Linked DNA regions of Arabidopsis thaliana. The protein of the gene in region 1 interacts with the protein of each later gene in a biochemical or structural test. Each region holds a gene or a part of one and is shown in the gene's direction. Other genes may lie near its edges.

Region 1 (15,147 bases):
AGTTACATAATTTGATATCGGATAAGATAAGACAATGTACATAAAAATGAACACAACATAATATCAGCAAGATGGTTCTAATATAACAGATTGGGATTCTACTACGTCAATTTTAAAAATAATCTCAATGTTATGAGAAACAATCAGCCAGGTATTACAAAGATTTCTTTGGTCAAGGTTTTAAGGCCCTGTTCGTTTCTACATTTGATAGATCCATCCAACTGATCCATTCAACATGTCTATTTGGATGATTTATTTAACTCTTGTTCGTTTCATTTTTAGTCGGTTCATTTGACTGGACCATCCGAATGAGATGTTCGTTTGCTTATCTCTATCTCCATCCAAATGATTTGTAATAATACAAATACCTAAACTACCCATGCTTTCATCTAATTATATTTTTTATTATTACTTGTAAACATGTTAATTTTAATTCTTAATCTAAAATATATTTAAAAGTAAATAAATTTCAAATAATAGTTTTTTACATTTATAAATTTATTTTACGGTTTTGGCGGGAAAACGTGGTTTTACAGTTTTGATGGGAAAACTCGATTTTACGGTTTTGGCGAAAAACAAAATTTTACGGTTTTGGCGGAAAAACGTGATTTTACGTTTTTGACTAGAAAACGTGATTTTACGGTTATGGCGGGAAAAACTCGATTTTACGGTTTTGACGGACAAACGTGATTTTACGGTTTTGGCGGGAAAACACGATTTTGCGGTTTTGGCGGGAAAACGTGATTTTGCGGTTTTGGCGGGAAAATGTGATTTTGCGGTTTTGGCGGGAAAACGTGATTTTGCGGTTTTGTCGGAAAAACAGAATCTTACGGTTTTGGCGGAAAAACAAAATTTTACGGTTTTAACGGAAAAAAAAATAATTTTGCGGTTTTAGTGGAAAATTTAATTTTTTATTTTTTAAAAATAGTTGTAAAATAAGATTTAAGTCTATTTGTTTTTTTATCGAAAAAATACATATAAATAATCAATTGAAATAATTAAGGTATTTTTGTTATTTGTTATTTTTGACTGGATCATCTCCATCCAAATGATCCAATTAAATTCAGCCAAATAAGTTTCAAAATTTAGCTTAAATTTTCAAAGTCATCCAGATGATTTATTTGGATAGATCATCTGAATGAACCGTTTTTGGCACCAAACGAACATCAAAACTCATCTCTATCTAGATGATCCATCTGACTGATGAAACGAACACGGCCTAAGTCCATCCGCGATAAAGAGGGATGAGCTTTAAGTTATATTTTGAGGATTTTTATTTCTGTTCAATAAAAAAAACAACTCAACGTTTATGCATGATGAATATTATACGTTCAAGATTTAGAAAAATAAAAAACAACTCAACGTTTATATATCGTGCAATGAAATCATCCAATTTAAAATATTTAATAATAGTCCTTCTGTATAACAACCACTAGTGTTCTTGTGGAATTTTTATTTTGTTTCAAAAAAAAACATGTTATTTTAAATTTCCAATTTTACTTTTCAAATAAACTTCCACGTTTATTCTTTAATTTATTCATATTTTTGTTTTAAATTTAACACTCACTCTGATTCATTATATAGGATATTTCAGAGATTTATTTAGGATGTTTTACTAATATCAATGCAATTTTTAAATATATTTTATTTGATTATTTGACTATTGGTTTGTATTTTGTATTTTTAATATCAAGAGAACAAATTTTATAATTAAAAATAAATTTCTTAAAGTGTGTGTTTTAATCTAAAACATCATATAATTTGAAATAGAGGAAATATCATCTAATAAAGTAATGGTATATTTGTATAGTTAATGATTTGTCTTTTTATTCGCGCAAAATGTGTCAATTATAAAATATAAAGAGGATATAATTTAGTTTAGAGTTTTAGACACGAGGACTATATATTGGAAAACAAAAAAGTAATGTAAACCATATAGATCATGGAATGAGTCATCCTATTAAACAGTTGTATTATATATTTATATTTTAGTCACTAACACATTAATAACTTAACGTCCATAACAAAATAAGATCCAAAACTCGATCTAGATCTATACGAGGCACTAAATGATCCATTGACTTAGGGCCGGCCGATTGGTTCGAGGACTCCTCATGCTGTAAACTTTTTTTTTGGACATACATGATATATTTTTAAGTCACGTTTTTATATTATATGTTCCACGCCCAATATAATATGTTCCAAACTAGGAAAAATAAGTAAGAATTAGTCAATGATCGAGATAATGCAATGAATCATCCTATTTATTAAATAGATTTACTAAACTATATATAATACAATGATCGAGATCGTGCCATGAAGCATCCTATATACTATAAAAATAGTCTTACTAAATACATACTCATATAGTTTAGTCATTCATTAGTCCAAACATTAAATGAGAGATCCTTTACTTGCTACCTGAATTTTTTCAGAATAAGGTATAACTTTTTTTCGAATTAGAAACTGATTTATGAAAGATTAAGAGTAATGTTCGTTAAACAAGTTAAAAAATATGTTTTTACAATTAAGTTTTGAAAAATAATAAAGTCTCCAATTATTTGAGTATCAAAAATAGGCTTGTTATTATTTAGGGTTTTCGTTGGTTTAAATGCAACGGGGTGTGGTTGTCATTGTGGAAGTTAATGGAAGTAATTGGTTGAGGTTTTAAACGTTATCGGACATTTTAAATGACTGGTTTACAGTTAAAAATATGTGTATTTACGGCAATTTTATGATTGGCTTAGCAGTAGATGCGACAGTGGTTTAAACCAAAAATTACCAAATAAATAATATACAATTATTAAATTATATAAAACACCAATATTATATATTTATATATATATGAACATAGTTAATTATCGAAACCATAGACAAAGTACATAAGAGTTATTCCGAAAAAGGTTTATTATGAAACACAAATAATCATATTGGGAGATTATGATATCCAAAATGGACTAATCAAATAATTAAATCCAAAATGGATGAAGAACTTATATTAGTTCCACGCACAATATAATATGTTCCAAACTAAGTAAGAACACAACGGTCGAGGTCATGCAATGAATCATCCTATATATAAAATAGTTTTACTAAACAATTATATTTTAGTCACTCGTTAACAAACAATCAAAATCGCTATATAAAGAACTCCGATTGGATGTAAACAAATCATCATAAACTTGTTCTCTTCCAGAAGAAACTAAAAACAAAAATGGCATTGCAAAAGTTTCCTCTCATGGGGCTGCTTTTGCTCCTAACCATCCTCGTCTCTGTGACAACAGCGGTTGATGATCCTGTTTGCCCGGCGACTTCCAAGCTAAGCCGAGCAAGTTTCCCTAATGGGTTTTTGTTTGGCACGGCTACTGCTGCGTTTCAGGTACAACAGATTTACTAAATCATAGTTCAAAAAACAAAAAGTAGTGTCGTTATTGTGTTTCTATCTGAATTCAAATCCATATTTTTAAAATATGGTTTTTTTTTATGTAAAAGTTGCTCAAAATATGTTATACCTATCATTTGAAATCATTTGTGCATGTGATATTCCTCAACTCATCAACTATTTTTTGTTATGTCATTAGGTCGAAGGTGCAATTAATGAAACTTGTCGTGGACCGGCTCTATGGGATATCTACTGTAGAAGAAATCCAGGTGAGTGTACTCGTATAATCTACATTCTCAATACAGTATGTTTAAATATTAAATTAAATTTAACTAATTAATATCAATACATAGCCATTAATTTTCTTAATTACTTTCAAATTACAGAGAGATGTAGTGGCGACCACGCCGATGTGGCCGTTGATTTCTTCCATCGTTATAAGGTATATATTAATATAAATTTAAGACAAACATAACTTATATTCTCGAGATGTTATTGAAATTTTGCCTTGTCTTAAAAATGTTTGTAGGAAGATATTCAGCTAATGAAGAATCTAAACACAGATGCATTCAGACTCTCAATCGCATGGTCAAGAATATTTCCTCGTGAGTATATGTCTGCAGATCTCTAGTTTGATTTTGTTTTAATCGAATTTGGTGAAATTAGATTTATGTGATTGTTATATAATACTAATAACCAATGAATTTAGATGATGTATATGTGAATGTTGAAGTATCAATAACTAATGAAACAAACTGTAATGCTTTATTAGATGGGAGAAAGGAGAAGGGAGTGAGTCAAGCTGGTGTGCAATTCTACCACGAGCTCATCGATGAACTCCTTAAAAATGGTTATATACATATAAAATACCTAGTTCACAAAAATACAAGTAATATAGTATCCTTATTTAACATTTCTTTCTATTTTACGTCATAAATAGGTATAGTTCCGTTTGTGACTGTTTTCCATTGGGACACTCCACAAGATTTGGAAGACGAATATGGCGGTTTCTTAAGCCAAAACATTGTGTATGTTTTTGTAAATTAAACAAAATACATTTAGTTAAGTTTATATGGAAATTATTAATTTGGTATCTTTTTTTTTTGCAAAAATACAGGAAAGATTTTCGAGAATATGCAGATTATGTTTTCACTGAATACGGTGGAAAAGTGAAAAACTGGATCACTTTCAACGAGCCATGGGTCTTTGCTCACGCAGGTTACGACTTAGGAAAGAAAGCACCAGGACGTTGTTCTCGCTACGTTCCAGGTTGCGAAGACCGAGAGGGACAATCTGGTAAAGAGGCTTATCTAGTCAGTCACAATCTCCTCAACGCTCACGCAGAAGCTGTTGAAGTTTTCCGCCAAAAGGTAGTTTACATTAGATATAAATCATAATTAATTATCAGGTCACATTAGATATAAATCACAATTAATTATCAGGTTTCGAATCTTAAAATAGGTTGTTTTGTGTTGTGTTTATGGACATAGGTTAAAGGTGGGAAAATCGGAATCGCACATAGTCCGGCTTGGTTCGAACCACATGATCTTAAAGATTCAAATGACGCTCCAACTGTTAGCCGTGTACTTGACTTTATGTTGGGATGGTAAGTATATATTATGTTAGAAAATGGTTTCTCGTATATAATTTCATAAAAATTAATGTAGTTATTAATTTTGTGTAGGCATCTGGAGCCAACTACTTCGGGAGATTATCCACAAATCATGAAAGACCTTCTTGGTTACAGATTGCCTCAATTTACTGCTGCACAAAAAGCAAAATTGAAAGATTCGACCGATTTCGTAGGGCTTAACTACTATACTTCGACATTTTCAAATTATAATGAGAAGCCAGATCCGTCTAAACCAAGTTGGAAGCAAGATTCTCTTGTTTCCTGGGAACGTAAGTTTTTTTTTGTTTTCCGTACATGAAACCAAACCAAGAAACTAAAGATAAAAGGTTTTATAATACTAATTGATATGCATACATTTTCACTTTTTATTTTTCAGCTAAGAATGTAGATCACAGCGCCATTGGTAGCATGGTAAGCGTTTGATTAAACTAGTCCTAGTTTGTGATTGTTAATTTTTGTCTACGACATAACATTTTCACCATTGCTTTATTTCAGCCTCTTACTGCTGCATTGCCCGTCTACGCTAAAGGATTTAGAAAGCTTTTAAAGTACATCAAGGACAAATACGCAAACCCGGAGATTATGATAATGGAAAATGGTAACTCGAGATTTATTGTTATATTTGTGTGTTGATTTAATCTTAACTCTTAAGAGTAATATACTGATCATTATAATGTTGTTTTTTCTAGGATATGGAGATAAACTTGGGACCACAGATTCGGTTGACGTTGGTACTGCTGATCATAACAGGAAATATTATCTTCAGAGGCATCTTCTGGCTATGAACGAGGCTATTTGGTAAGCCTTTTATTATTTGATAGATTGACTAACGATTCTATTGAATGGTCTAATTAAGAACATAATTGTGTTTGTGCAGCATCGATAAGGTGAGAGTTACGGGATACTTTGTATGGTCATTGTTGGATAACTTCGAATGGCAAGATGGTTACAAAAACAGATTCGGACTCTATTACGTCGATTTCAAAAATAACCTCACACGTTATGAGAAAGAATCAGCCAAGTATTACAAAGATTTCCTCGCTCAAGGTGTTCGTCCATCCGCACTCAAGAGGGATGAGCTTTAAGTTATATTTTGAGGATTTCGTTTTCTATTCGATGTTTTTCCTATGTTTTAGTTTGTGATTGACCACGCACGATTCATGAGTCGTGGTTAATAATAATAAAAGTGTTTCGTTTTCCTTCAATCTCTAGCTTATTCGACAAGATCAAGAAGGCTTTAGTTTTAATGACGTTATCCTTTTTGAGAATCAATATGTGAAGTTAAATATGTTTTACCTTCCAAACTTGAAGAAAAATTGAATCATACAACCTTAACATTAAAAAATTTATGAGTTACAAAATGATGTAAGAAAATATCATTAGTTTTAGAAAATTAAAAATACGAATTTACCTCTATACATAGAAATAGATTAGGAAATAATTTGACGTCGTCTTAACAACTAAGTACAAACATTTCAAAAACTAACAACTTAAACGTTGGCGATGAAATAAACAATGGCAATTCATTTTCCCAAACAGTTCTAATATTTTATTTTTGAAAGTCACTAGTTTAGATTAAAAAACAGGACGACCAGCAAGAGAAGATATCTCTTTTTCACTCATTTGGCCAAGCGTATTTTCTATATACCTTAAGGAAATAAAATCCATGCATGATGCAACCAAATAAATCCACCATGCAATACCAACATCATTCATTACTTTGGAAATTCATATTTCATTCTTAGCAAGCAAAAAAAAACAAAAAAAAACAATCAAACGTATGTGTTAATAATGAAATCATCACATTCTATCTTACTAGTAGTCACTTATCAAAAACGATTTATGTAAATAGTGATTTTCAAGATTTTTTTTTTAAAAGCAAAAAATTTAAAGGCCAACTCACTTTCAGACTGTTTCTTTTGTAAAATTGAGAATTCTTGGAGCATCTCCTATCAGTACTGTAGCTGATTCATTACTTATTTTCGTGCTTTTGATATGTGAGTGAGTGAACTAGAGTCGTAGATTGATAGCTTTGAAGCTGAGTTGGAAGGATTGTCTGTCAAAAAAGGAAAGACAAGACCTACCAAATTGGTAAGATTTGAAATATATGCATATACTGTAATTTATGCTCTGTAGTGAGTCATGTCTTTTGGTTTGTTTTTCTCTTTAACACTCATCTTTAGACATCTATTACAAGGCACAAGGATCACATAATAAAATTGGAACTGATCTTGAGCCACAAAGGATCATATACACTTTCTTTTAAAGAACCCTACTTGGAGAACCTACCATGGAAAGATAACAAAATTAATAAATCTTTCCAAAAAAAAATAAAACAAAAAAATAGTGAGAGTCTATAGAAGGTTCTCACCACTGGACATAATCTTAAACTGCATATGCAAATATAGGTTTGATCAAGATTTGTTTTTCAGGAGTACCAAAAAGGTTCCGTAGGAATGATAGATTGATAGATTCTTACATATACACAATAAAAAAAAAAAAAAAAAATTGTAGTATCAACATATCAATTAGAAAAACAACTGGGGCATTTTTGATATCTTCGAAAAGTATAATCCTTATCTTATAAACTATTTTTAACTAAACGCGGAAACGCATAGCTGGCAATCTTCCCTTACGGTTTTTTGGTAATTGTCTACTTTTGATAAGAGACGCAAAACGCCCCCCCTAAATCGAGAAAAGTTACATAATTACCCTGCTGACCTAGTCCTATATAAAAAAAGATACCTTCTCCTCTCCATTAACCAGTAATCTCAATCACAAACTATTTCCCCCCCTTCGTTCATCAAATCCTCAAGAGAAAAAAAAAATCCCCAAAAGCTTCCTCAAAACCCTAACACAGATCTCTCGATCTTCTCCGATCTGTCTTTTCTCCTAATCTGGTAACGTTTCGATTCTCGATTCATCTGGTTTCGCGTATAATGTTTCCGATTGATTTCACTTTTTCGATTACGAATCTAGATCTAGGGCTTTGATCTATGTTTCTGAGATGCGATTACGAGTTTCCGTCTAAAATTTTGCAGTGATTCGTGTTTTCTCGATATCGCTTATGAGAATTGTTTTCTAGGTTTTAGGAATCTATTGGTTCATATGTTCCGATAATCAGATCTTTGAATTCGAGCAGTGGATATGATTCACCGTCCTTGATTTGTGTATTTGAGCTTGAATTTTATAATTATTGCTTGATCTCCTTCGATTTTGATGGCGTGTGTTGTCATTGTGTTGGTGGTAGCTAATTGTAATTTTCTAAACTCCAATTTGTTCAGGTTTAGTTTGATTTTATTGGATTGAAGATGTCAGACGCTTTGAATATGACTCTTGATGAAATTGTGAAGAAGAGTAAGAGTGAAAGGTCTGCAGCTGCAAGGTCTGGAGGTAAAGGAGTTTCCCGTAAGAGTGGACGTGGACGTGGTGGACCTAATGGTGTTGTAGGAGGTGGAAGAGGAGGTGGACCTGTTCGTAGAGGTCCTCTTGCTGTTAATACTCGGCCATCATCATCCTTCTCCATAAACAAGGCAAGCTCGAAATCTTGATTGGAACTCTGTGCCACCAAATACCGAAGCATGCTAAAACTTAAGATGGATGATCTTTTAATGCTCTTTTGTCCTTGGAGAAGAATCATACATGCATATACCGTTACTTCTGATGATGATTCAGATTACAAGAATCTTCTAACATCTTCTTAGAAAAGCTTCTTTCCTGCAATTAGTGGTTTTTATGGTTAAAATCTGGGAACTTCAAGAGGCATGAATAGATGTGCAGAAGTTTTCGGTTGATATTGTCACTCGCTATAGGTTTATTGAGGAGCTCCTTTAAGCTAAGTAGTCCACATAGGGTTATCTACAGGGGGATAAAGCCTGAAAATGTGTGTGGTTTTAGGGGGAATTTCAGAAATTTTAACAGTAAATAGGATTTATGATGGGTTATCAAAGTGGGGGTATTTGCACTATGCATGAAGTTCACGATGGTACATCTGGAATTTCTTCGGAGTGTGACGGCAGTCTCAGTTTTCGTTTTTGGCTTCAGAGACTGACTGATAACACCAGTATGATTCATATGAAGTTAGTCAAATTTACTTGTTTCCCTACGTTTCATTTGGTATCTCCTTGGATGGTTCTTGACTACTTCTTCCTGGAGCTCTTTGCTTTAGTACTTTCAGCCAAATGGGTGTTTTCTCCTCTTTCAAGAAATTTGTTGATTAATGTGGCTTCAAGATTCTACAGACCCTTTTAGCTGACTTGATATGTTCTACTGGATCAGCTTGCCCGCAGGAAGAGGAGCTTGCCATGGCAGAATCAGAATGATTTGTATGAAGAAACCCTTAGAGCTGTTGGGGTATCAGGAGTGGAAGTCGGAACCACAGTTTATATTACCAACCTTGATCAGGGAGTGACAAATGAAGATATAAGGGTATAGCCTGACATCTATGTTCCAGTGCTTCTGTTGTTTTGGTTCTGTGGAGTTTTCTGAAATTGGTTTGTACTATCATATGGAATCTAGGAACTCTATGCTGAAATTGGAGAGCTGAAAAGATATGCAATTCACTATGACAAAAATGGGCGTCCAAGTGTAAGTTCTGTTTTCTTTTTGCTATGGTTTATCTGTTCATTACCGTGTTTCTGTAATATTTGATATCTGATGTTCTGTGTCATACAGGGATCGGCTGAAGTTGTGTATATGAGAAGAAGTGATGCAATTCAAGCTATGAGGAAATACAATAATGTACTTTTGGATGGAAGGCCTATGAAACTGGAGATTCTGGGTGGAAATACTGAATCTGCTCCTGTCGCAGCTCGTGTTAATGTGACTGGATTGAATGGAAGGATGAAGAGGAGTGTCTTCATTGGGTATGTTGCCGGTCTGTTTTTTTTTTACAAGAGAATAGTTTTGAGTTTATGTGCTGAAGTGAATGTATCACTGATTATTGCAGACAAGGAGTTAGAGGTGGGAGAGTAGGAAGAGGAAGAGGTTCAGGTCCTTCTGGGAGACGCCTTCCACTGTAAGTGTTCAAGAGTCTGATCTCGTTGTCATTCATGTGGGCTGATCATGCATTGGTTTTATCATCTTATCTTATCATATTGTTTATTTATGACAGCCAACAAAACCAACAAGGTGGTGTGACAGCTGGTCGAGGCGGGTTCCGTGGTAGAGGCCGGGGTAATGGTGGTGGCAGAGGGAATAAAAGCGGTGGGCGAGGTGGAAAGAAGCCAGTGGAGAAGTCTGCTGCGGATCTCGACAAAGATCTCGAAAGCTATCATGCTGAAGCTATGAACATCTCTTAAACAGAAGCAAGACTTCGCATCTTGTCATGTACTTTTGTGTTCTTTATTCTTAGTCTCTGACTAAATATGTGGCAAAGTCTGGTTTGGTTTAATTACGTTTAGGATGGCTCTACTCTGCTTTTATTTTCCTCTTTTCTTGTTTCACACTTTCACAGTCACTTTTGGTTATTGAAGTTAAAAGAGATTTAGCTGTAAATGAGAAAGCTGTTATTGTTAGTTGGTTGAATCTAATAATATACGAAAAAATCTTTTAGTCAATTGTGAATTTTATCTACAGAAACCCTAAACTTCACTTTCTGAGTAACGGATCAAAAACGAACAATGGGATAAAAAAGACCATTAGAATGTTATCTTGGTTTTTGTTGTGTACAAAATCGAATCCAACACAATCGGCCTCAATTCTAACTCCAATCCCACCTAAGAAAGTTAAAAAAACTTCTCGGAACAGAAACTAACATTGTTATGTCCCAAAGATTTCTCACAAGATATTAGCAACGTTCAAAATCATTACTGTCAAGATACTCCATATACCCCGACTGTAATACAAATCACTCCGTATTCCAGAAGAAGTTGTTGAGTTTGCCGATGGCGCTGTTATGTTCACAGACGTCCCGTTTCTACCATTACCGCGGCTGCAATCGAGGTAAAATAAACAACCATTAAAAATTTATACAATATGAGTGTTTCATTTGGACTAACTGATCTGATACTAAAAAAAACTTAACACAATTAACATGAAGTCATTCTTTTTAATCCGAAAAACCAAATCAATACATTTCCTAATCGAAACCAAGAATGAACATATCTACCAACAAAAGAGTATAAGGAAACAGAATAATTTACCTCCCAGCAAACACACATGTACCATGACCTGCATTGAAACAACCAAGCAAGAAAAAATTAGCTTTTTTACTAATTAACGGTAAAAAACAGTATTACACAATGCAATGTATAATCAAAAAAGGCTTTTTATGTTTCTTACTTGGATCTGTGGTAGTGATACTAGCAACACCATTGAAGTTGCAAGCATCAGGATTATTCCCAGTCTGATGATAATAAGTATCAAACGCGTAGTTAGCATGCGCGACGACATTATCCGGTTCATAACAAGTCTCTCCTTGCTTAATAGGCGAACAATCAATCTTTCCAGGACCACAAGCCCAATCAAGAGCAGCTTGAAGCATCTTTGTATCAGCACCTTCTCTTGCAGTACAATAAGTCTGGTTCGTTGTATCGTTAGCTAGAACCGAGCCCGAGTTAGTCAACCGAAGTACGTAAACCGGTTCACCATTTGCATTAAACAACCCCCAATTCTTCTCTGATAAACCTGCTTTTGTATCTTCATTGTAAAGCTCGTAAATATAAGTACTCACAGCGATCCCCGGGCGTTTCGGAGTTCCGGTCTTGTTAAGAACATGTCTAATGAGATTACTGTTGTAAGTGTTGGCGTTGTCAAGTGTAGCATCAGGCTCATTGGTTTCTCCTTTCGAAGGCCAGCCTGATTCGGTTACTAAAACCGGAATGTTTGTGAAGTTGAGGAACGCCATAGCGAAGTACGTTGCATCAACCATTGCATCAAAAGCGTTTGAGTAACGAACAAGAGTGTTTGCATCAACAGCTTCTTTGTTTGGAGGTATCGGTTTGAACAACGCGTAGTCTAACGGAATCACACCGTTTGATTGCATATAGTCAATGTATGGATACACATTCACCATCAGGTATGAGTTTGTTGACTGCAAGAAGCTTAGTAACGGAACTATAACCGCATTCAAAGAACGGTTAAAGAACGCTTGCGATGGAGGAAAAGGATCAAGAATCAAGGAAGTTGATAAAGGAGTAGAAACTTTTATCAACTTGTCAAGATTCGCCGAGAGTAAAGCAGCATGAACGTTCTTTATAGCACTGACTAGAACAGGTGCTGCATTAGAGAGACTGGTTAGCACCTCAGAGCCAACAGAAACCGCGGTTATCATCGTTGCAGGGTAATGTGCAATGACATTGCGTTTAACCCAATTCGCTGCGGTTGAATTGGATTGACCTATACCAAGAAGCTGGTCATTAGGAATGGAGATTATAACTTTGATACCAGTGTTTGCTAGAGCAATCAACAACCCGGGATCAGCGTTGTATAATCGAATATGTCGGATTTCTTGAGCTTTTAGTAGAGCAACAACTTGTGTTGGATGTGGCATATCAGAAAGATCAGTCCCTATGTTTACTCCAATATATGAACCTACAAAAAATATATTGATTTCAACTAAACCATTAGTATCAACATATCTAGAACTAGTCCAAAAGAGTGTACAATACTCAAAGATTTGGATTCATAGACTTAACTAAAAAGAACTATGTCTCTGGTCAAAACATTAGACATTGAATTATTTGTCTTGTAATAAATATTTGGGGACATGAAAATTCACCATTTCTTGTTTCTTAGTGAGCATTTAAAAACAAACCCACCTGCCAAACACACATACTGACATTTATTATCATAACCTACCACACTCTCAAACATACTCAATGAATCAAATCCAACACATACATACAAAAGGACTTGTCTTTAATTACTTTATATTAAAGCTATTTTCATTAATCACTGACAGTGGAATTATTACTACATAAAAAATGGAACATTTGGTTTTCTAGAAGAACATTAACACATGCAAAAATCAAAACTTTCAAATTTGGGAGTAAAGATTGAATCTGAAACTCAAAGTACAAGATTGAATCAGATACAAGAATCTCACCTTCATCAGCTGGAGGAGAAGGAGAAGCTGAAGCAAGAACTAAAAGAGAAAGAGAAAGGAGAAGAAGATGGAGAAGAGAAGCCATGGAAAGAGAGAGACTTTTTTGGAGAATCTAAGATAAACCCCAAGAGAGGAGAAACAGAGGAAGGGCAAAAGAATGAGTTTTGAGTCTAAAAATGTTAACTTTGTGAAGAATAAACAAAAACCCACAAAGAAAGGAATGAGAGAAATTGCGTGGGAGGTATAGAGAAAATAGGGTAAAGCTTCTGATTGAGAAAGGACACCGAGAAAAAGTTAGAAAATTTGTTGATTATATCGAAAGAGAGAGATTGGTAACGGTGGAATGGACGGCTGAGATTTGATCTTAAGATTTCAAATGGTCAAAGATGAAATCTAACGGTCTTTTGTAATCTTGTAGTTGACAGAGTGAGTTACACAGTCAGAGAGTTGTACTGTGGGAAAGAAAAGTCTTAATTAGCTTCTTTGTTGTTTGTTAATCACTAATATTAATATGATTTGATGATTAATTTTGAGTATATTAGTGTGAAACATAATACTACTGATTGTTAGTGATAAACTATGGTATATATTTGTATATATATTGAGCAATTTTTTTTTTTTTTGGGTAGAATAAATGCAAGTTTAAAGAGCACAACTTTTGGTGTAAGAACAAGTTGTGCATTGGACAGCAAAATAAGTTGGTAACTACGAAATAGCCGTTGCGACTCTTTTGTTTGTTTCTCTGTATTTCTCTTACTCTTTATTACATTTGGTCCTTTTTCTTACTTTTATGTGATTTTATCTTAATTTATCTATTAATAAATTGATTCGTTTTCTTATAATTGTTACCCATACTAATAGTAACTTACAAATACTATACATAGCTTATAAGAGAGAATAAACATGGCTTGTTTTCGTCTTAATAGATTTATAAAATATTCAAATCATTTTTTAATAATTTTTCATAAATCATTAGTTAATGAATATTAAAGATTTTAAAATATTATTTTGTTTCCATCATTTCTATATATTTTTGGAACATATTTTCGGGAATTATCAGATAGCGGAATTTGTTTGTTGTGGAATATGTCGTGTATTTTGGCATCTTGGTAAGCATGGACAAGTGATTTAGCCGTTTGGGACGAACCTAAGTCAATCTAACTCGGCCTACAAAATTTTGTCAAATCTCTTGACATTTTTATACTTATGCTTTTATCACTTTTGTGGGTGGTTGCGAGAGAATTAATCAAGTTTTAAAAATGAATAACGGGTCTGTTGGTTAATGATATATTTATAGATGATTATTAATTAATTTAATGTGAGGATATTAACAAAGTGTTCTTTGTTATTGACTTTTCTTTTTTAATTAAGGCCTTTAAATGATAGACGATCTTGGTTATGAACTTGTTAATTCAATGAAGTTTCAGATTATATCTGGAAGGATTAAAGAATATACTAGAAAAAGAGATTGAAATATATCGAGGAAATATGTGAAGACAAGGTTCGCGACACAAGTGACAAGCCATGCCCATGCACAAAAGTATCTTGCAAGGCAAAAATTGGAGAGTAATGCGAGGAAACACTGAGCATACATGACATAACTTTAGGGGATGCCGACACATGTAATCGTCTTTGGAGTCTCGCAGCCAGATTTTGGTGACCAAATTACCACTGCCATGAGTCCATGACGAGCTCGAGCTTTTAATAAGAAAACCACAATTTTCATTGAAAGTAATGATCATACAGAGTAGTTGTTCATACTAACTAAATGATCAATGATCATATTATACATTATGAAAGAAACATTTATTTTGTTAGGACTAAAATGCACATTCAACATTTAGTCAACTAATTGACATTTCAGTGAATCTTTAGCCTTGCTACCTTTTCCTTTCTTATAACCTTTTGAATCTTCAAATTTCTCGTTTTTTCTATACTTAGAACTCTTGAGTAATAGACTCTCATCGTTGTTCCCCTCTATGGATCCTTCTGATATCCCAACGCTTATCGCGTCATGATCGATATCCTCTCTTATATAAGATTTTTCGGAATCTTCGGATCGATCGAAACAATGATGATTCGATC
Region 2 (17,219 bases), on another chromosome or scaffold:
CTTATGCCTTGGTTTACAATTTGGACTAGTATATACGATGAATCAAACTAGAAATTATCGTCCATAGATCATTTAATTTCGTACATTTAGACGAAAAAGGGCTAAAGACAAATTTATTAGTACCCCAAATTTTTCTCTTACAAAATATAAACATATTACAGCGATTTAATAACTCGAAAATTAATACCTTCAGAATATTAGTAAAAATTTAGATATGAAAATTAGAGTACATTCATTTGTCATCATAACACTTTTTGACGCATGCATGCTTGTATCTTTATTTTCGCATTATTTTATCATAAGATCTCTAGTATCGTAAGTACTACCATATTATTAACAATGATCTCTTACTCTCTTTCAGAACAAAGCTTCACCAAAAGCTATCCAACTTATTAAAAAAAGAAAACACTTTGCTTTTGTAAGAGATGATATATATTTTAGTTGAGTGTCTATTAATATCTTTCAATTAGCAAAAGAGAATCCATTTCCACACTCTGTCACGAAAAGAGAAAGTTGTATCTGACTACGAAGCCAAATGAAACCAATCTGAACCGAAACCAGAATTCGGTTTAGAATGAGGCTGCTAGGGCCAGGTCTTGTATATTTTTAGCAAAAGCCTGTGTGGACTTGGACAAACCGTGTCTAAGTGAATTTTATATTTCAAAATCCTTCAAATTTGGTTCAAAATGTTGAAAACGAATTCTTTTGTAGTAAAGTCAAAGTCAAATTTCATGTATGTGTGTGTATACATAAACATAAGATAGTGAGACCAAACTAGCACAAGTCAAACAATGACATCTCAAAAACCCTATATATATGAGTCATTATCGAATTTATTACACATACAAAACAAAAACAAAAAAAACTCTACATTCACCAATAAAAAAGCTCAATTTTGTTTTTGTTTCTCATTCGAAAAACTAAAATTCTAAACATGATGAAAAAACAATTGGTGGTCGTAGTTATGTTAGTTGTTATGTTCGTTGTTTTCTTGGACGCTACGCAAGTTGAAGCCATGAGGCCTTTCCCAGATCCCGTAGATGAGATCCGGCTTCTGTTTCAGGCGTTGCAAAGAGGACCGGTCCGTGGTTCTGGTCGGAACGGTTGCACTAATATTCCTCGCGGTTCAGGCAGATGCCATAACTGAGCTGTCTTATACGAATCTTCTTCTTCTTCATCTTCATCATTCTTTAATTCCATATTTTTTTTCCTCACATTTGTGTGTTACGTACATAATTACATTTACGTAATTATACGATAGCTTTAGACTTCGTCTCATGTAATTGAATTGTAATCAACGGAAATTTAATTAGTCTATTAGCGTGTTTGTACTCAATACAAACATGTTTTTTCACTATTCACTAGTTGGTCAAGAAAAATGTAAATGTAACAATCCAAAGATTTTTCATTTTAACAACAAACTTTATTGGACTTTTCGGCTTGGAAAGGTAGACAATACAGTGAATAATTGAATTCTTTGACTTATAATTTTACTTGAAAAAAATCGACATAAACACAGCAACATGCGCTTTATATACAGCGTCTGAAGAGAAAGACGTTCTCATGGCAATGTATTCCCACTTACACGATTACACCGTTCTGTAGCTGGAGGTTTTTCCCTCCGACGTCTCTTCTTAATGTGATTTTACTAAAAGTCAGACCTTGACGGCAACAAAAACAACGCCCCTTTATGTTTTCTACTTCACGGTAAAACCTGAGTCCGACATGTGTACGTGCACAAGATACCGAGATTTCATCGACGTTCCTGTGAAAACAAAACCTGCATTGATGTGTGAAACTTGGGATAATTAGTTTTATCAGTAGAAGTAACAGCAACATTGTACGTTTGTTGAGACTTGAGGATTCATCGATGCTAACGCATCAACTTGAACAGATAAGTTTTTGAATCGAAAGTTTACGAAAGTCCTAAGTTCATTATCCTCTAAAGCAATGTGATGCAAGAGAGCTAGAAACAGAGCGTGTAATCGTCTCTACCTGTGTGAAACTGCCTATGTTCTGTAGCCAAGCATTAAATGCTTGTAATAACGACCCCGGATGATTCTCTGCCACCAATATTTTGTTGAGCTCCAATAACTCATCTGCATCCGCTCTTGGATGAGCCTGTAATGCAAATCATGAGCGTAAGTAAAAAAACAGAGTTTCAAAGAGCAGATCCATAGGAGAAGGGAAGAAAGTTTGCTGACCATCTAACAAGGCATCTTTTAATGCCTTGAGATATTGGCCGGAAAAAAGATGGATCTCGCTGAGTATACAGTATCCCAACCTGAAACAGAATTAATCAGTTTTTAGTAAAATGGGTCTCGAAATTAGTGTCTACTGATCAAGAAAAGATAGAAGTTTTTACCTCAACCAATGCCATAGCTGAAGGGTCTTCAAAGATCTCAAGGCTATAGTCACCCAAATAATTTACCTATAGAATCATTGATGCTTGTACACTATTAGTGATGCTATAATCATTAGTTTCATGTCCGATAAGGTAAAACTGAACACTTTGGCTTTATTTCCATCAAGGGTCTAGAAGAGTAGGTACCGCGAATTCTGTATTGACAAGAGCTTGGACAAAATCCATCAGCTGAATTTTAGCCCACTCAGAGTTCTGTGTAGGATCCTCAGTTTGCGGAGGATGCCTCCATGAAGCACCAAAACGTAATTTTTCATACGGAATGCTTCCTTTTCGTACATCAGTGGCATACCGTTGAAGCCGCAACAACGCTTTGTCCATTGCAGGATTAACCACAGCAACCTAAACAAGGAAATAGACTATAAAATTAACGATGACTTTCGTGCGTAATTTGAAAGCAATCACTTTAAATGAGCTTACTTGTAAATATGCCAAGTATGCATCCACAATATCTTCAAATGTACCTGCTTTACTCCCCATCAAACTGATAAAACACAACGGCACTAGGTCACATTTGAGAAACGAAAAAATAGAGGGTTGACACATTTTGAGATTAGAGCAAACGAAAGAACAGGAAACCATTACCTCTGGTAATGATTACTTTGTTTAAGCGCATAAAGCTCAAATAGATGCCGAGAATTCGCACCAAGAACATCAGCAATGATAGTCCACTACAATTCCAACATATGTTAAACCTCTAGTAATATACAGCATCTCAATTAAAAAAAGAATGACCAGTAAAATTTTAGCATAAAAGATCATTCAACCTTTCTGGTTTGATATTATTAGGTTTTAGAGTTGTCACATATTTTGGTTTCATTAAACAAGCAGTGCCATTACCTACAGCATTTTTCTCACCTCCGAAGCACTGAAGTAATCAGGAACCATGTGTAATTTTGCTTCTTGAGGATTCCATCCAAATGTCTACAAATGAAACAAAGCCAAAGTGCAACGTAAGAAAGGTAGAATGAAGAAAAATAAAAAATGAACTTTCATGTTGATATAATGAAGGTGAGACGGGGAAACTCTACATAATATATCAAATTACCAATACATGCTCACACAAATACACACAGAATCAATAGTTTACTTAGATGTATACATGTAGCTTCTATACCTCACGAGAGATGAAAATGTCTGGAAACCCGTAGTCAACAAAGGCTTGATATGAATAGTAGCTGTCATAATTCAAATTATTAGACATCAGATAAAATGATAAAAAAGTTTCAAAAGACATTTCTGTAACTAAGAGCCAAGTTCAGAATGGAAAATGATTATTCAGACTTTCGGTAACTTAATGGCATACTACAAAGTGATACAAGTCAGAAACCAGTTTCCCCTCTAGTGTTGAGAAATTGAAACTTAAAGGCTAGATTAAGAGACCACGTAATCATCAGATAGTAACAGATTGTCCTTATTAAACCCAAAAATGCTAACAAAAAACAGGACAAACCTGTCCGAAGTCACGAATAGGACAGGTAGACAGCGCTCATTCGCACCTAACGCTATTATTCTCCAAATAAGATTGTCATGGTACATTGACGCTGAGACTGTTGAATCATCAGTCTGAATAGCCCTCTTCAAGATTTCAATGTTGTTCAAGACCAGCTTAGGCTGTCAAATGAAACAAGAAATAGAGACAAACAAAAATAACATCAATAGTTGGCAAACTGTTTCCAGATGAATACATTTACTGTTTACCACTCATAAGATCAAAGATTCCATTCCATTACTTATCTATTCCATTACCTGGAAGAAGCCAATCTCTGCAGCTTGTGATAACAACTCAAGCATTAGCAACGGCCAATCAGTACATGAATTCGCTAAAGTTCTCGAAAACCCATTAGTTCGATTAAGATGAGCAATGGCATTGGCTTTCCAACCCTGGTGCACCTTAATAACCTCTTTAGCCAATCTTAACGCAAAAGCAGTCTCTCTATAATACGAAGCCTCTTCAACGGACAAGCTATTACCTTTCTCTTCCAATTCAAGCAACCCATCAATCTCATCGGCATTTTGTCGAACAGATAGGGCATACACAGCCCGTTCCCAGAGAAATGAAACCGAGACTTTCTCTGGAACAGCAATGTTATAACCCTGAAGTATACGACGAAGTGCAGTATTAAGACCATACCATTTGTTCATAGTAGTGAAAATCTGCTGCGAGCTTATACTCCCAAGTTTGATAGCTTTGTGACTCATAGATTCAAGACAATTCTCGAGCTGGGTTTTGCAATTGGACAACAACGGTGGGTCAACACTGGTCCAAGACGTCCATGGATATGATTGGTGGTGATCTGGATGGTGTTCCGTTATCGATTGCGCAAAATCTACATAGCCAGCGAGATGTGGCCCTTTGTTCCAATCTCCGAGTAGACCTAATAAGAACGAGATCGGGAACGAATCAAAGGTACGATCATTTGAACAAAATTGGGGAAATTAGGGATTCAAAGAGAGGATTTTACGGTTGAGGATCAATGTGGTTTTGCCGACGCCACGAGGACCATGGAGGATGAGAGGCTGAGGAACACGGTGGCGTTGGACATGGTTGTTGAGAACTGTTTCTAGAAGCGGCTTTGGAATTATCTTCCAATGTTTATTCACCATTTCTCTGCTTCTCCTTCTTCTTGAGCTCGATCAGTGTATGGGGTTTAAGGACACTCCCAAATCTCAGGGGAAATGTTCAATCCAAAACCATGGAGGGTTTAAGCGTTCAAGGATCTCTCGCCAACGAAGAACAAATTTCAACTCGAACCAATCTCAACCGGTTTATACAATCGAACCAATATGAACCGGTTTATACAATCTGAATCATTTATCGTCTCTTAAACCAAATAAGAAGACTATTATTCCGGTTATCAAACATTTCCAGTACTATTACAAATTTGTTAAACAAACTTATACTTTCAAACAAATTTGCTCTCATAGCTTTGTTACAACTTACAAGAACATGTAAAGCATAGTTTCTCGTATACAACAAAAATGAATACAAAAAGTTCCACCCATAGTCCAAATTTTGGTATTGAGATCAAGCTTGAGATTCACAAGAGGGATCATCCGTGGCACGAACCCGAGCCTTTGGGGATGTGAGAGCAACGGTTAGGACCAGATCCAGGGACCGTACCCTTCTGCAAGGACTCGAACACGAACCGGATATCACTATCGAAGGTGATTCTTAACATCCTCGTGGCTTCTACTTTTGTGGAGTCCAAGAAAACCACAAAAATGGCAAGCATAATCACTCCAAAGATTACTTAATTCTTCATAATCATCACTTTAACTTTGTTTCTTTGTACTAAAAAGTATTTGTAGTAAGTTCGTTTACTCTTTTGTGTCGCATTGAAAGATATGAATATGAGTTAAATATATAGAGAGGGAGGGTTTACTTTTTTTTTGTCGTCAGGGAGGGTTTACTTGGATTCTTATGGATTGACTTTTTAGTTGGAAAAAATTGGTTCTCGACATTTGAACTAGAAAATAAAGATTGAGACTGATTAAACAAGTTAACACGTAAACCGGTTTTGTCTTGGACCGCAAGATTTCTTGCTCATACGGAAGGGCGAAGAAGATCACGCGTCTCACGAATTTTTAAGCAAATAGGAGGAAAATGCACCCGGGATGTTATTACGGTCCAACTTGATTAGTGTATTCCCGGTTTGATTTTCTGACAAATTATGGTGATCAATTTCATATTTTTTTGCTTCTTGTAGTACATGTTGGATTTTTTTTGTTAGTACAATATTCTGAAAATTTTGATGGAAAATGCAATCATATAATTATAGCGAAAAAAGGCTGCAAAGCTAAAAAAAAAAAAAATCGAAACAAAAACACAACAAATAAACTAAATGAGAAATTCAACTAGCAGTTTTTCAAGAAGAAACACTGATTCTGAACGCCGAATTAAAGATGGACATTCGCGTAATTGTCACAGTTCCAAAAATCTCGAGACCTTATCGTCGTTATTACGAACAATCTCTACCCTATACCAAGCTTCTAACCTCAAAGAGACGCTAACTGCTGTTTCGAAAACTAACACAAAACATGTCGGATTTAATTTAGCAATGTAGCTCTTACGTGGTCAAAATTCTCATTTTTGTTCCAATGTAAACTAGAAATGTACAGATGTTTTCCGAAATATACAACCACCATGATTCAATCGTTCGACGGATTCTGCGAATTCGTCCATGATTTGTTGATTTTTTTTGTTAATATATTTTTCACCAATGCTATTTTCTTTTTTCTTTTTTCAATTCCCTATTGTCATTTTATAGCCATAATTTTATGTTCACATAATCTTTTCTTCCTGTCTCAAAAATATAAAACAACAAGTGATAGTAATCATCGTCTATTGCATAACGGAGGGTGCAAATTATTGATTTACTAATCTGATATCAAATTAAATCATTGAATAAATCTGATTATCAAAATAATAATTGAAAGCAATAATCTTAAAACAGACTTTTTAGGGTAAAAAAGGGAAAAAGGGTTAAACGGTAGAAACACAATCTGGAAAAGCGTCGCCGAGAAGCTTTACTCTCACCTGAAACATTCCTCAATCCGTCGTCATCATAATCATCTTCGATAGAGAAGCCATACGTATAAATAGTACTCTCGCATTGTGTAATTGTCTCTTACCGGAGAAATGGCAAGCCCACATAAGCCGTGGAGGGCGGAGTATGCAAAGTCGTCGAGGTCTTCATGTAAAACTTGCAAGTCCGTCATTAACAAGGAGAACTTTCGTCTTGGAAAGTTGGTTCAATCTACTCACTTCGATGGCATCATGCCCGTATGACTCTCTTTTCTCTCCCAGAATTTGGAACTGTCTCTGTACTATACTCTCGTGCTTGTTAGTGTGCGTTCTAATGTTTCTTTCTGATTTTGAGGACAAAATTGATTCTTTTAGAATTATTGTCAGACAAATTGGGTTTATTTGGTTGAAATTGGTTATTTTTGAGGGTTCAATCCTGTTCTCTCTGCTTCCACTGTTCTACATTCCTTGCAAATTTGTGTGTGTGTGTGTGTCAAGCTTGTTTTCTATCTCAAAATTGGAACTTTTTTAACTTCTTAAATAGATGTTAACCTTCCTCACATTATGTTCTTTCCTCCTTTTGTGCCTAATCGAATGTGATAAAAGAGCATTTGAAGCTTAAATTTGAGTCACTTGTGTGTTTATTTAGTACTTGATGATTGCCAAAAGGTTCGTGCTTTTCTGCAATGACGTATGTGAACTCCTATTATTCCCTTTGGAACTCTGACGTTATTCTGTTTGGATGATCATAATCGTTTGTTTAGCTGTGTTTTGATATCTTTATGCCGCCAATGCTATGATTGCAATCAGCTGTGTTTTTCATGAGCTTTTATGCTTGTTGTTTAATGGAATGGCAGTGGTCATTCTTCTCTTCTTCTTTTCACTATGTAGTTCCTTCTTCATGCTGCTTCACTTCACCATGTTAATTATATGTTGCTTTTAGCTCCAGTTGACATGAAGTTTTCCTAGCTGACTATCCTCTTTGTACTTTTATTTTTCTCACACAGATGTGGAACCATGCTTCTTGTATACTAAAGAAGACGAAGCAGATAAAATCGTATGTAAAACCAATGTCACTTTGAACAAATATTTAAAGTGTTTGGCTATTAACTCGTTTTTGTCTCTTGATTTTGCTAGAGTTGATGATGTTGAAGGCATAGAATCACTTCGTTGGGAAGATCAGCAAAAGATTAGAAAATATGTCGAATCTGGAGCAGGGAGTAACACAAGCACAAGCACAGGCACAAGCACGAGCAGTACCGCTAATAATGCCAAACTAGAATATGGGATTGAAGTGTCACAAACTTCTCGTGCCGGTTGCAGAAAGTGTAGCGAAAAGATCTTGAAAGGAGAGGTAAATTGTTGTTCTACTTCATCTGTCATGGTTGTAGCGTTTTATATGAACTGGTTCGATATGCATTAGGGTTTTGTTTTGCATTTTTGTTTTCCAGGTACGTATATTCTCCAAGCCTGAAGGCCCGGGTAACAAAGGTTTGATGTGGCATCACGCTAAATGTTTCCTTGAAATGTCTTCCTCTACTGAACTGGAAAGTTTGTCTGGATGGAGAAGTATACCAGACTCAGACCAAGAAGCTCTTCTTCCCTTAGTGAAGAAAGCTCTGCCGGCAGCCAAAACTGGTAAGAGTCTTAAGGTGTACGGTAATATATTGATTTCCTTGTTACAGGATCCTGATTTGCAGTACTTTAGTCTGATCTTTCCGTTAATTTATTTTGGCCCAACTGGGACAGAGACAGCAGAAGCACGTCAAACAAATTCAAGAGCAGGCACAAAACGAAAAAATGATTCTGTTGATAACGAGAAGTCGAAACTAGCAAAAAGTAGTTTTGACATGTCTACAAGTGGTGCTTTACAACCTTGTAGCAAAGAAAAGGAAATGGAGGCCCAAACTAAGGAATTGTGGGACCTGAAGGATGATCTGAAAAAATATGTAACATCAGCTGAGTTGCGGGAAATGCTTGAAGTAAATGAACAAAGTACAAGAGGATCTGAACTTGATCTGCGTGATAAATGGTAAATTACTTTGCGAATCTGTCTGGAAGTTAATTGCTTGTCTTTTGTTCTATTTCTGTTACTGTTGTGTGGATCTTCTTAAAGGTAATTTGGATTAGAGAAACCGATGCATAATCATATGCCTAACCTCTCTATTTGTTTCTATTTAGTGCTGATGGCATGATGTTTGGCCCACTCGCTCTCTGCCCAATGTGCTCTGGGCATCTTTCTTTCTCCGGAGGACTTTACCGATGCCATGGATACATCTCAGAATGGAGCAAATGTTCTCATTCCACTTTGGATCCAGACCGCATCAAAGGGAAGTGGAAAATCCCTGACGAAACAGAAAATCAATTCCTTCTGAAGGTAAACCAGTCTTTTTGTAGAGTTGATATTGGTATGGGTTAGGTTAGATGTGGTATATATTACTCATGAAGTTAATATTTATATTTTGATTACTTGCAGTGGAATAAGTCTCAAAAGAGTGTGAAGCCAAAACGTATTCTGCGTCCTGTATTGTCTGGCGAGACATCTCAGGGTCAAGGTTCTAAAGATGCAACTGACTCCTCAAGGAGTGAAAGGCTAGCAGATCTTAAAGTTTCAATTGCTGGAAATACTAAGGAAAGGGTATGTTCTTCTGTCAAAAATTATATTGTAGACTATCTTTGCACTTCATTGCTTGATGGGATCATTTTGCAGCAACCATGGAAGAAGAGAATTGAGGAAGCTGGTGCAGAGTTTCATGCTAATGTTAAAAAAGGTATGGATAACTCGAGTGTCTATTTTTGATTATTGTGACACTAGTTTTAGCTTTTGAATATCTCTGTTTCACAAATTTGTAGGTACAAGCTGTTTGGTTGTTTGTGGACTGACAGATATCAGAGACGCTGAAATGAGAAAGGCAAGGTAGAATATTGCCTTCATTGTGCTGATACTCTTTAACTTTGTCACACTATTTTTTCTCACTTTGAACGCTGGAGTTGATAAATGTGTGGCAGGAGGATGAAAGTGGCAATCGTGAGAGAGGATTATTTGGTTGATTGTTTTAAAAAACAGAGGAAACTTCCATTTGACAAGTACAAAATTGAAGACACTAGTGAGAGCCTTGTCACTGTTAAAGTAAAAGGACGAAGCGCTGTGCATGAAGCGTCTGGCCTCCAAGAGCACTGTCACATTCTTGAAGATGGGAACAGTATCTATAACACAACTCTGAGCATGTCTGATCTCTCTACCGGTATCAATAGTTATTACATACTCCAGATAATCCAAGAAGATAAAGGTTCAGATTGTTACGTATTTCGTAAATGGGGCCGAGTTGGAAATGAAAAGATTGGTGGTAACAAAGTGGAGGAAATGTCAAAGTCTGATGCGGTTCACGAATTCAAACGTCTATTTCTTGAAAAAACCGGAAACACATGGGAATCTTGGGAACAAAAAACGAATTTCCAGAAACAACCTGGAAAATTTCTCCCGTTGGACATTGTAAGCATCCATATGACTATATCTTTGTCTCTTAAGATTCTCTTATGTATCGTTCAATAAACTCTTTTGTATCGTTTGTTTTAGGATTATGGAGTTAATAAGCAAGTAGCCAAAAAAGAGCCATTTCAGACCAGTAGCAACCTTGCTCCATCATTAATAGAATTGATGAAGATGCTTTTTGATGTGGAAACTTACAGGTTAGAAACTTATTTGCCATTGTCTTCTTCTCCTCTTCTCTCCCTAGAAACTGTATGAAGTAACCTAATAATTACTTCCGCAGATCTGCAATGATGGAGTTCGAGATAAATATGTCAGAGATGCCACTTGGGAAGCTCAGCAAACATAATATACAGAAGGGTAACTCCTACTTCTCTAGTTTACTTTTTTATATGATAAAAATAATAAAATGTTAATTCTACATTACATTCTATTATGTTTTTTCTTGTTTGTTCTTCTAAAGGTTTTGAGGCATTGACGGAGATACAGAGGCTATTGACTGAAAGCGACCCCCAGCCTACTATGAAAGAAAGCTTGCTTGTTGATGCTAGTAACAGATTTTTTACCATGATCCCTTCTATTCATCCTCATATTATCCGAGATGAAGATGACTTTAAGTCAAAGGTACTTGCCATAGAACATGAACCATGGTGTTGTTTTTTAATTCCTAGCCTCTTTTTCTGTGTTACAAAGAGGTATTGTATCTGTGTGTCACAGGTGAAAATGCTCGAGGCTCTGCAGGATATCGAAATAGCTTCAAGAATAGTTGGCTTTGATGTTGATAGCACCGAATCTCTTGATGATAAGTATAAGAAGCTGCATTGCGATATCTCACCACTTCCTCATGATAGCGAAGATTATCGATTAATCGAGAAGTATCTTAACACAACTCATGCCCCAACGCATACAGTGAGTTCAAGCTCTGTTTATCCCTTTTCATGTTTTGTTTATCATAATTTTCTAATTCAATTTCTGGTCACTGGATTTGTCAGGAGTGGAGTCTTGAGCTAGAGGAAGTTTTTGCTCTTGAAAGAGAAGGAGAGTTTGATAAATATGCTCCCCACAGAGAAAAACTTGGCAATAAGATGCTCCTATGGCATGGTAAGCCAACTGCAACCAGCCACATTTACATGCTTTGGGAAACAGATACAAGAAATTTCATTGTTTGGTTGATTCTATATATTTGGCTGGTTGATCATCAAAACCCTTGGTTTAACCAAAATAAATCTGCTTTCAGGTTCTCGATTAACGAATTTTGTTGGAATATTGAACCAAGGACTGAGAATTGCACCTCCAGAAGCTCCTGCTACTGGTTACATGGTCAGTACTCTATCTGTGTCTTATTTGTGGGGATCTTATCAATTGAGAGTTCTTCACTATCTAGTTAACTTGTTAGAGAATCTGAACTTTTTTTAAACCCCATGTTTCAGTTTGGAAAAGGGATATACTTTGCTGACCTTGTCAGTAAAAGTGCTCAGTACTGCTACACTTGTAAGAAAAATCCGGTGGGTCTAATGCTTCTGAGTGAAGTTGCATTGGGAGAAATACATGAGCTAACAAAAGCTAAGGTGAGCCCATATTACAGTTTTTCAGGTTATGCTACTAACCATTTGGTTCTTATCTTGAAAACTATATGAACAACTTAAGATATTACTTACCTTCATATATGACTTTCTCTTATGTCCTCAATTCTTTAGTATATGGATAAACCTCCGAGAGGGAAACACTCGACCAAAGGGCTCGGCAAGAAAGTGCCTCAAGATTCCGAGTTTGCCAAGTGGAGAGGTGATGTGACTGTTCCCTGTGGAAAACCTGTTTCATCAAAGGTCAAGGCTTCTGAGCTTATGTACAATGAGTATATCGTCTACGATACAGCCCAGGTAACTTGTGTTTCCAAAATAATCTTCCTTGTTCCTTACAACAATGGGATATTGCGCACACACTAAAGTCCTCTTTTGTTCTTATCGGGTACTTGGGAATGAGAACTGAATTCCCTAGAAAGCTCATGCTTTAGAATACGGCTTTAGCTATTAGTTTTGCAACATATTCTGTGTTTGATTCTTTTATGGTGTGTACATGTCTGACAAAGATTGCTTTGTCTCTGAACAGGTGAAGTTGCAGTTCTTGTTGAAAGTAAGGTTTAAGCACAAGAGATGAGCCTGAACCAAACAAGAAGACGTCACTTCTGTTAACTAAATGTTTTTTTGGGAAATCGAATCCAACACGAAGACTTAACTTTTGTAACTAAATGTCTTTTGATAAATCGAATCCAACATGTAGTCACAGATTTAACTCTCTGGCGTTGTAGATGTTTCTGGTTTTAAAACAGCGTACACTACATTTTGTTATGCTTTTTCTCAGTAATGACACTTCTTAAGACTTGACACTTGTTCAGATCTGATGTTGTACCTATGAAAGATCATCGAAGAAGTGGTTATTCTCAAAGAGAAAATGGTTGCATGATTCGATCTCTACTATGAAAAATGTCGAAAAGTCGATACAATAGAAAGATTGTAAGGTTCCATCTCTGACAAAGTAGTCACTTGTACTCAAACAGACCAAGGAAAATTGACCTCCTGGTAGTAATTAAGTGATTCATTTGAGCTACAAGGAGACTCATTATGATCCATGGACCGCTCATTGTCGCGTGTAGTACCACTCATTGGGTCGAAGTCTGAGTCCAAGATTCCTTGGTGAAACCAATTGTGAAGATCTTGTGGCATTTGTTGAGCAAGAACCTTTTCTTGTTGCTTCATATTACAACCAGGATCATCTTGAGGGAACCTTCTCGAAGCTTCTTCTCTAAGTAGAACCACTTGTGCTTGTAAACTAACAACCTTAAGAACAAAGTCAGTGAAGTTACTTGTAAGTACACTAGAGATGATGAAGCAAAAGCAAAAAAAAATTATGTATACATTTCCGAAGAAAAAGTATAATACCTGTTGTTGGAGGGAGAAGATTTGGGAGACGCAGCCGTAAATAGGATCATGGAGACGAGAGTGAGCCTCGTAAGAGATGGTTCGTACGGCGTCACATCGGTCATGATCAGGGAGATGAGAAATGAGCTTAGAGAAGTTGCTAGCTCCAAACACTTTGTGAATGGCTGCAAAATTAGAAGATCCTTCTTCGTAGCAAAAGTATGGTGCAAATACACAACCCTCTACACATTTCCTACGCAAGAACTTGCATCCTCCACATGGTGAGCCTAAACCTCCCATTCTCAAAACGTAATTATAATCTATTGATATTAACCAACTATTACTATCTTGTAGGAATATTAATACTTCATTACTTATACTCTTCTAGTGACGATTATATAGTGCACGAGTGTTTATGGTAAAGGACTAAGGTGGGATTTATGATAACTCAACTTGTTATTTTACATATTTGTCTCTCTAATGGCTTACAATTACAAGATTGCAGCTTTTATATTTTCCCTCAAGTTTATATTGTAAAACATCTCTCTAATATTCAATAACTCGTTGTAATATATTATTGAGATTAAACTCTTAAGGTGGAGAATATTCTTAAGAAAATATTGAGAGAACCATATTAATATTAAGATCCGATCAAATGAGAGATTTGGTTGACGTATAGGACAAAACAATGAGTAAACATGAACCAAACCCAAGTTGCTTTTTGTTGTGGTTTTAGCTTTTTTTTAATTCATAACTAATTTACTCTCTTATTTTATTTAGAAAAATAAATTAGAGTTTACTTTTAGTGTTTGTTTAGTTGAAAATTTACATGTACTTGTGAAATTATGTTAAGATTGTTGTCATTATTGCTTAATTTGGAAAACAATAGTTTAAGATTTAACAATGCTCAACATATACACCACATAAGTGATTGAGATGTGTGTAGAATAAGAACAAAGGCATTTGATATTAGTAGTATATGAGACAAGTTATTTCTATATCTCGATTTAAATATTTTAAAATGCTCTCAGTTTCGATCAAACTTTACAGACTAGAAAAATAGAGAGACCCATGATTATCCAGCCCACATATTAATCATGAATCATGATTAACATCAAAAATATTCCAAAATAATTGATCAAGTACAAAAGTTAAATTATTCGATAATAATGAACAACTGATAGTGGATTTATGACTTAATGTTGGTTTAGTGGAGATTAAAAATAGTAAGAAAAATTTGAGTTTGAAGCTTTATTTTTGTTTTCTTATCTATGTTAAGGATTTCGGGTGTCTTTAGATATCCTAACTTGTGCCTAGAGTTTGCGGAAAAGACGGAGTTTTGGTCAAAGAAGGACCGGGGAACAAAGAAATAACAGAACCAGTACGGCCATGGGATCGGTCTCACCAATGACTGATCTAGGACTCCTCAAACAACCCTCATAAGCCACATTGGCCGTGCCCATCAGTCAAATGCAGATCCAATATCCCTGGAGCCAACTAAATAACCCGCATCGATCAACCATCATGGTCATAGAGCCACCGATCTAGCCAACCAAACCATCCGACCAGTAGCTACATCGTTCTGCCATATCGGTCATATTTTTTTATCGATCCTAATCACAACCCATCTGATCCAGAAGCTGCATTGATCCCAACATCGGCCAATGAAACCCAAACATTATACTTACCCTTTGCAAATCCTATTCTACTGGGAAAATAATATAGTGCTCATCTTTTAATTGATGAAACCCGAACATTGCATTTTGAGAAATAGTATGCAGTCGCAAAAGCAAAAGCAAAAGCATATTCAAATGTAGAAAGAAAATATAACATCCTTGTAATTCTTTAACTAATTAGCAATCTTCAATGATTCACATCATTTTCAACAGAGTATGAAGGAGTTAACATTGCAATGAATCTGCAAATTACTTGTACATATACATAACGCCCAACCAGGGTTAGATAGGAGAAGAGACCAAAACAACAAATGTGTGTTCTTCCATGATCTATTAAAAAGCTTCAATATATAGTAACGTGAAAAAACCTGATTGATTAGTCAACGGCTTTAGAATCATTAGAAGAAGATGCCTCACCAGATTCGGAGTGTTCATGGTTATGATCACAGTGATGGTTGTTATCATCTTCTTCTTCACTGTCATCCTCATCAAAAGGCTTCTGTTTATGAAAGATGCAACACTTCTTCGAACTCTTCTTCTGCATAAACTCATTGTCTACAGTCCCATCTTTCCATGAAACTTTCTTCTTCTTCCGGTTCAACCGAAGCACTAATCTTTCAGTAGGTTGTGATTGAGAAACAGGGTTTTCTAATATGACAGAAGTTGTTGCTGAAGAGGAAGGCCTTGTTGCTGTGCTCATAGCTGAAGATTAGCTTTCAAAATCTGCATAAAAGACTAATTTCATAAGGTACCAAAATACAAGAACAGAGAATAAAAGTTCTTAATAGTAACAACTAACAACATGCTTAAGAATGACAAGAGCTAAAGATAAAAACTAAGACCTTAAACAAAATCGTAAAACAGAACAAAGCCTTTAGGGTTCATTCTTTAGGTAAACAAACCAAACAGATGCTATTTCTCTAACCCTAAATTCATTGCCTACGAGATCTGAACCCTAATCATTCCTAATTCCAGGGGATAAACACAAATCGGTGATATGAAATTGAGAATCAAATGTTGCAGTAAACAATAGAGAGACCTAGTTTCGATCGTAGAAACAATAGCGAAACCTAAACCTAGGGGAAAAAAAGATTCAAAGAATCAAATCGACGAAGAAGCAAACCTGTGAATCCCCAAGGAGGAAGGGACGCTTGTTGAATCGAGAAACTTTTTTTTTTTTTCGTTTTGTTTTTTTTTTCTTTCGCCGATGGAGAAATTTAGTCGCTCCAACCAAAAAAAAAAAAAAAAAAAAAATTCGGTCTAATTTTATATTTATTTTCTAAGAAATGTTAATATATATATTAGAAAAAAGACTAATACAGTGTAATTAATTTTGAGAAAACTATAATGTTAACTTATTTGGGATTCGAAAACTGAATATATAGAATGACTTTATAAGTTACTCATACTCATAGTGAGGTTTAGTTCAGATTTTTACATGGATGGATTTGATTAAATCCAATTATGTATATTTAAGTATTTAACTAATGCAGAATTTAGATCTTATTTTTTTTTTTGCTTATTATTATGCTGGGCCGCCCCTAAGACAGGGCCAAGGAAAATAGAAAATGATCTGGTCATAAAAAATTGGGCTATAAGAGTAAAATAAAACACACAAACAAAAACATCCGTCTCTTTCACTTACACTTTCACTTCACGTTTGCGACTGTGTCGTCGTCAAGCTCCGGATCTCATCGGCGTTTCATCATAATTATCTGTCCATCTATTCACCGTACGACTCCGTTTTAGAAATCTGTAGATGTCAATTTGAGAGAAAAGACTGTCTTCATTACAACACATTTGGGACAACAAGGATCACTCATGGCAGTGGTGGATGTTCATCGTTTCGCTGAGTCAATCACTTGCCATGCTTGGAGTCCTGATCTCTCCAGTATGTTTCTAACACCTCTCTGATTTTGTGATTCTCTTCTTTCTCTCTTCCGTCGTTTTTCTGTTTTTAGAATTATAAATGAGGAGGATCTTTAGTTAGTTTTTCTGAATTGACTTGTGTTATTCTTATACATCTTGGTAATCAAGTTTCTTCTAAATCCCTATAATTGAGAATTTTCGAGTCAATGTTTTATATGTCTGTTTGTCGGTGTCTCTTGTTAGGAGCACTTGGTATCTAGTATTGTACATTAGTAGATGCGCTTTTCTAAACAGATGAACCAAATCTATTGTTACA

Evidence for each region.
Region 2: the proteins of AT1G66260 (region 1) and PARP1 form a complex in vitro, tested with the Arabidopsis thaliana proteins (one study listed by BioGRID).

The regions. Positions count from the first base shown.
Region 1 is NC_003070.9:24,691,063-24,706,209, reverse strand, and holds AT1G66260 (RNA-binding (RRM/RBD/RNP motifs) family protein), read left to right. Parts: upstream 1-7,295; 5' UTR 7,296-7,361; intron 7,362-7,725; exon of another isoform or gene 7,726-7,833; 5' UTR 7,834-7,915; intron 7,916-8,299; 5' UTR 8,300-8,326; coding exon 8,327-8,548; intron 8,549-9,293; coding exon 9,294-9,443; intron 9,444-9,533; coding exon 9,534-9,602; intron 9,603-9,689; coding exon 9,690-9,880; intron 9,881-9,963; coding exon 9,964-10,032; intron 10,033-10,128; coding exon 10,129-10,315; 3' UTR 10,316-10,564; downstream 10,565-15,147. Other genes in the region: BGLU21 (Glycosyl hydrolase superfamily protein), read left to right, coding at 3,215-3,379, 3,582-3,651, 3,769-3,824, 3,912-3,987, 4,155-4,232, 4,323-4,410, 4,500-4,752, 4,873-4,988 and 5 more; AT1G66250 (O-Glycosyl hydrolases family 17 protein), read right to left, coding at 10,794-10,947, 11,159-11,186, 11,298-12,548, 13,063-13,147; AT1G66245 (uncharacterized protein), read right to left, coding at 14,903-15,147. UniProt on the Arabidopsis thaliana protein: Export adapter involved in nuclear export of spliced and unspliced mRNA.
Region 2 is NC_003071.7:13,349,424-13,366,642, reverse strand, and holds PARP1 (poly(ADP-ribose) polymerase 2), read left to right. Parts: upstream 1-6,892; 5' UTR 6,893-7,064; coding exon 7,065-7,208; intron 7,209-7,957; coding exon 7,958-8,007; intron 8,008-8,087; coding exon 8,088-8,304; intron 8,305-8,401; coding exon 8,402-8,588; intron 8,589-8,699; coding exon 8,700-8,982; intron 8,983-9,131; coding exon 9,132-9,327; intron 9,328-9,426; coding exon 9,427-9,588; intron 9,589-9,660; coding exon 9,661-9,721; intron 9,722-9,803; coding exon 9,804-9,867; intron 9,868-9,959; coding exon 9,960-10,443; intron 10,444-10,527; coding exon 10,528-10,640; intron 10,641-10,723; coding exon 10,724-10,800; intron 10,801-10,903; coding exon 10,904-11,064; intron 11,065-11,157; coding exon 11,158-11,349; intron 11,350-11,432; coding exon 11,433-11,541; intron 11,542-11,677; coding exon 11,678-11,760; intron 11,761-11,870; coding exon 11,871-12,008; intron 12,009-12,137; coding exon 12,138-12,320; intron 12,321-12,549; coding exon 12,550-12,597; 3' UTR 12,598-12,895; and 1 more. Other genes in the region: AT2G31345 (uncharacterized protein), read left to right, coding at 935-1,147; emb1381 (embryo defective 1381), read right to left, coding at 2,010-2,121, 2,205-2,284, 2,366-2,431, 2,552-2,764, 2,843-2,906, 3,008-3,093, 3,281-3,346, 3,540-3,600 and 3 more; AT2G31335 (uncharacterized protein), read right to left, coding at 5,476-5,658; LBD14 (LOB domain-containing protein 14), read right to left, coding at 12,990-13,277, 13,380-13,658; INH3 (inhibitor-3), read right to left, coding at 15,411-15,734; ARPC1B (actin-related protein C1B), read left to right, coding at 16,856-16,925. UniProt on the Arabidopsis thaliana protein: Involved in the base excision repair (BER) pathway, by catalyzing the poly(ADP-ribosyl)ation of a limited number of acceptor proteins involved in chromatin architecture and in DNA metabolism.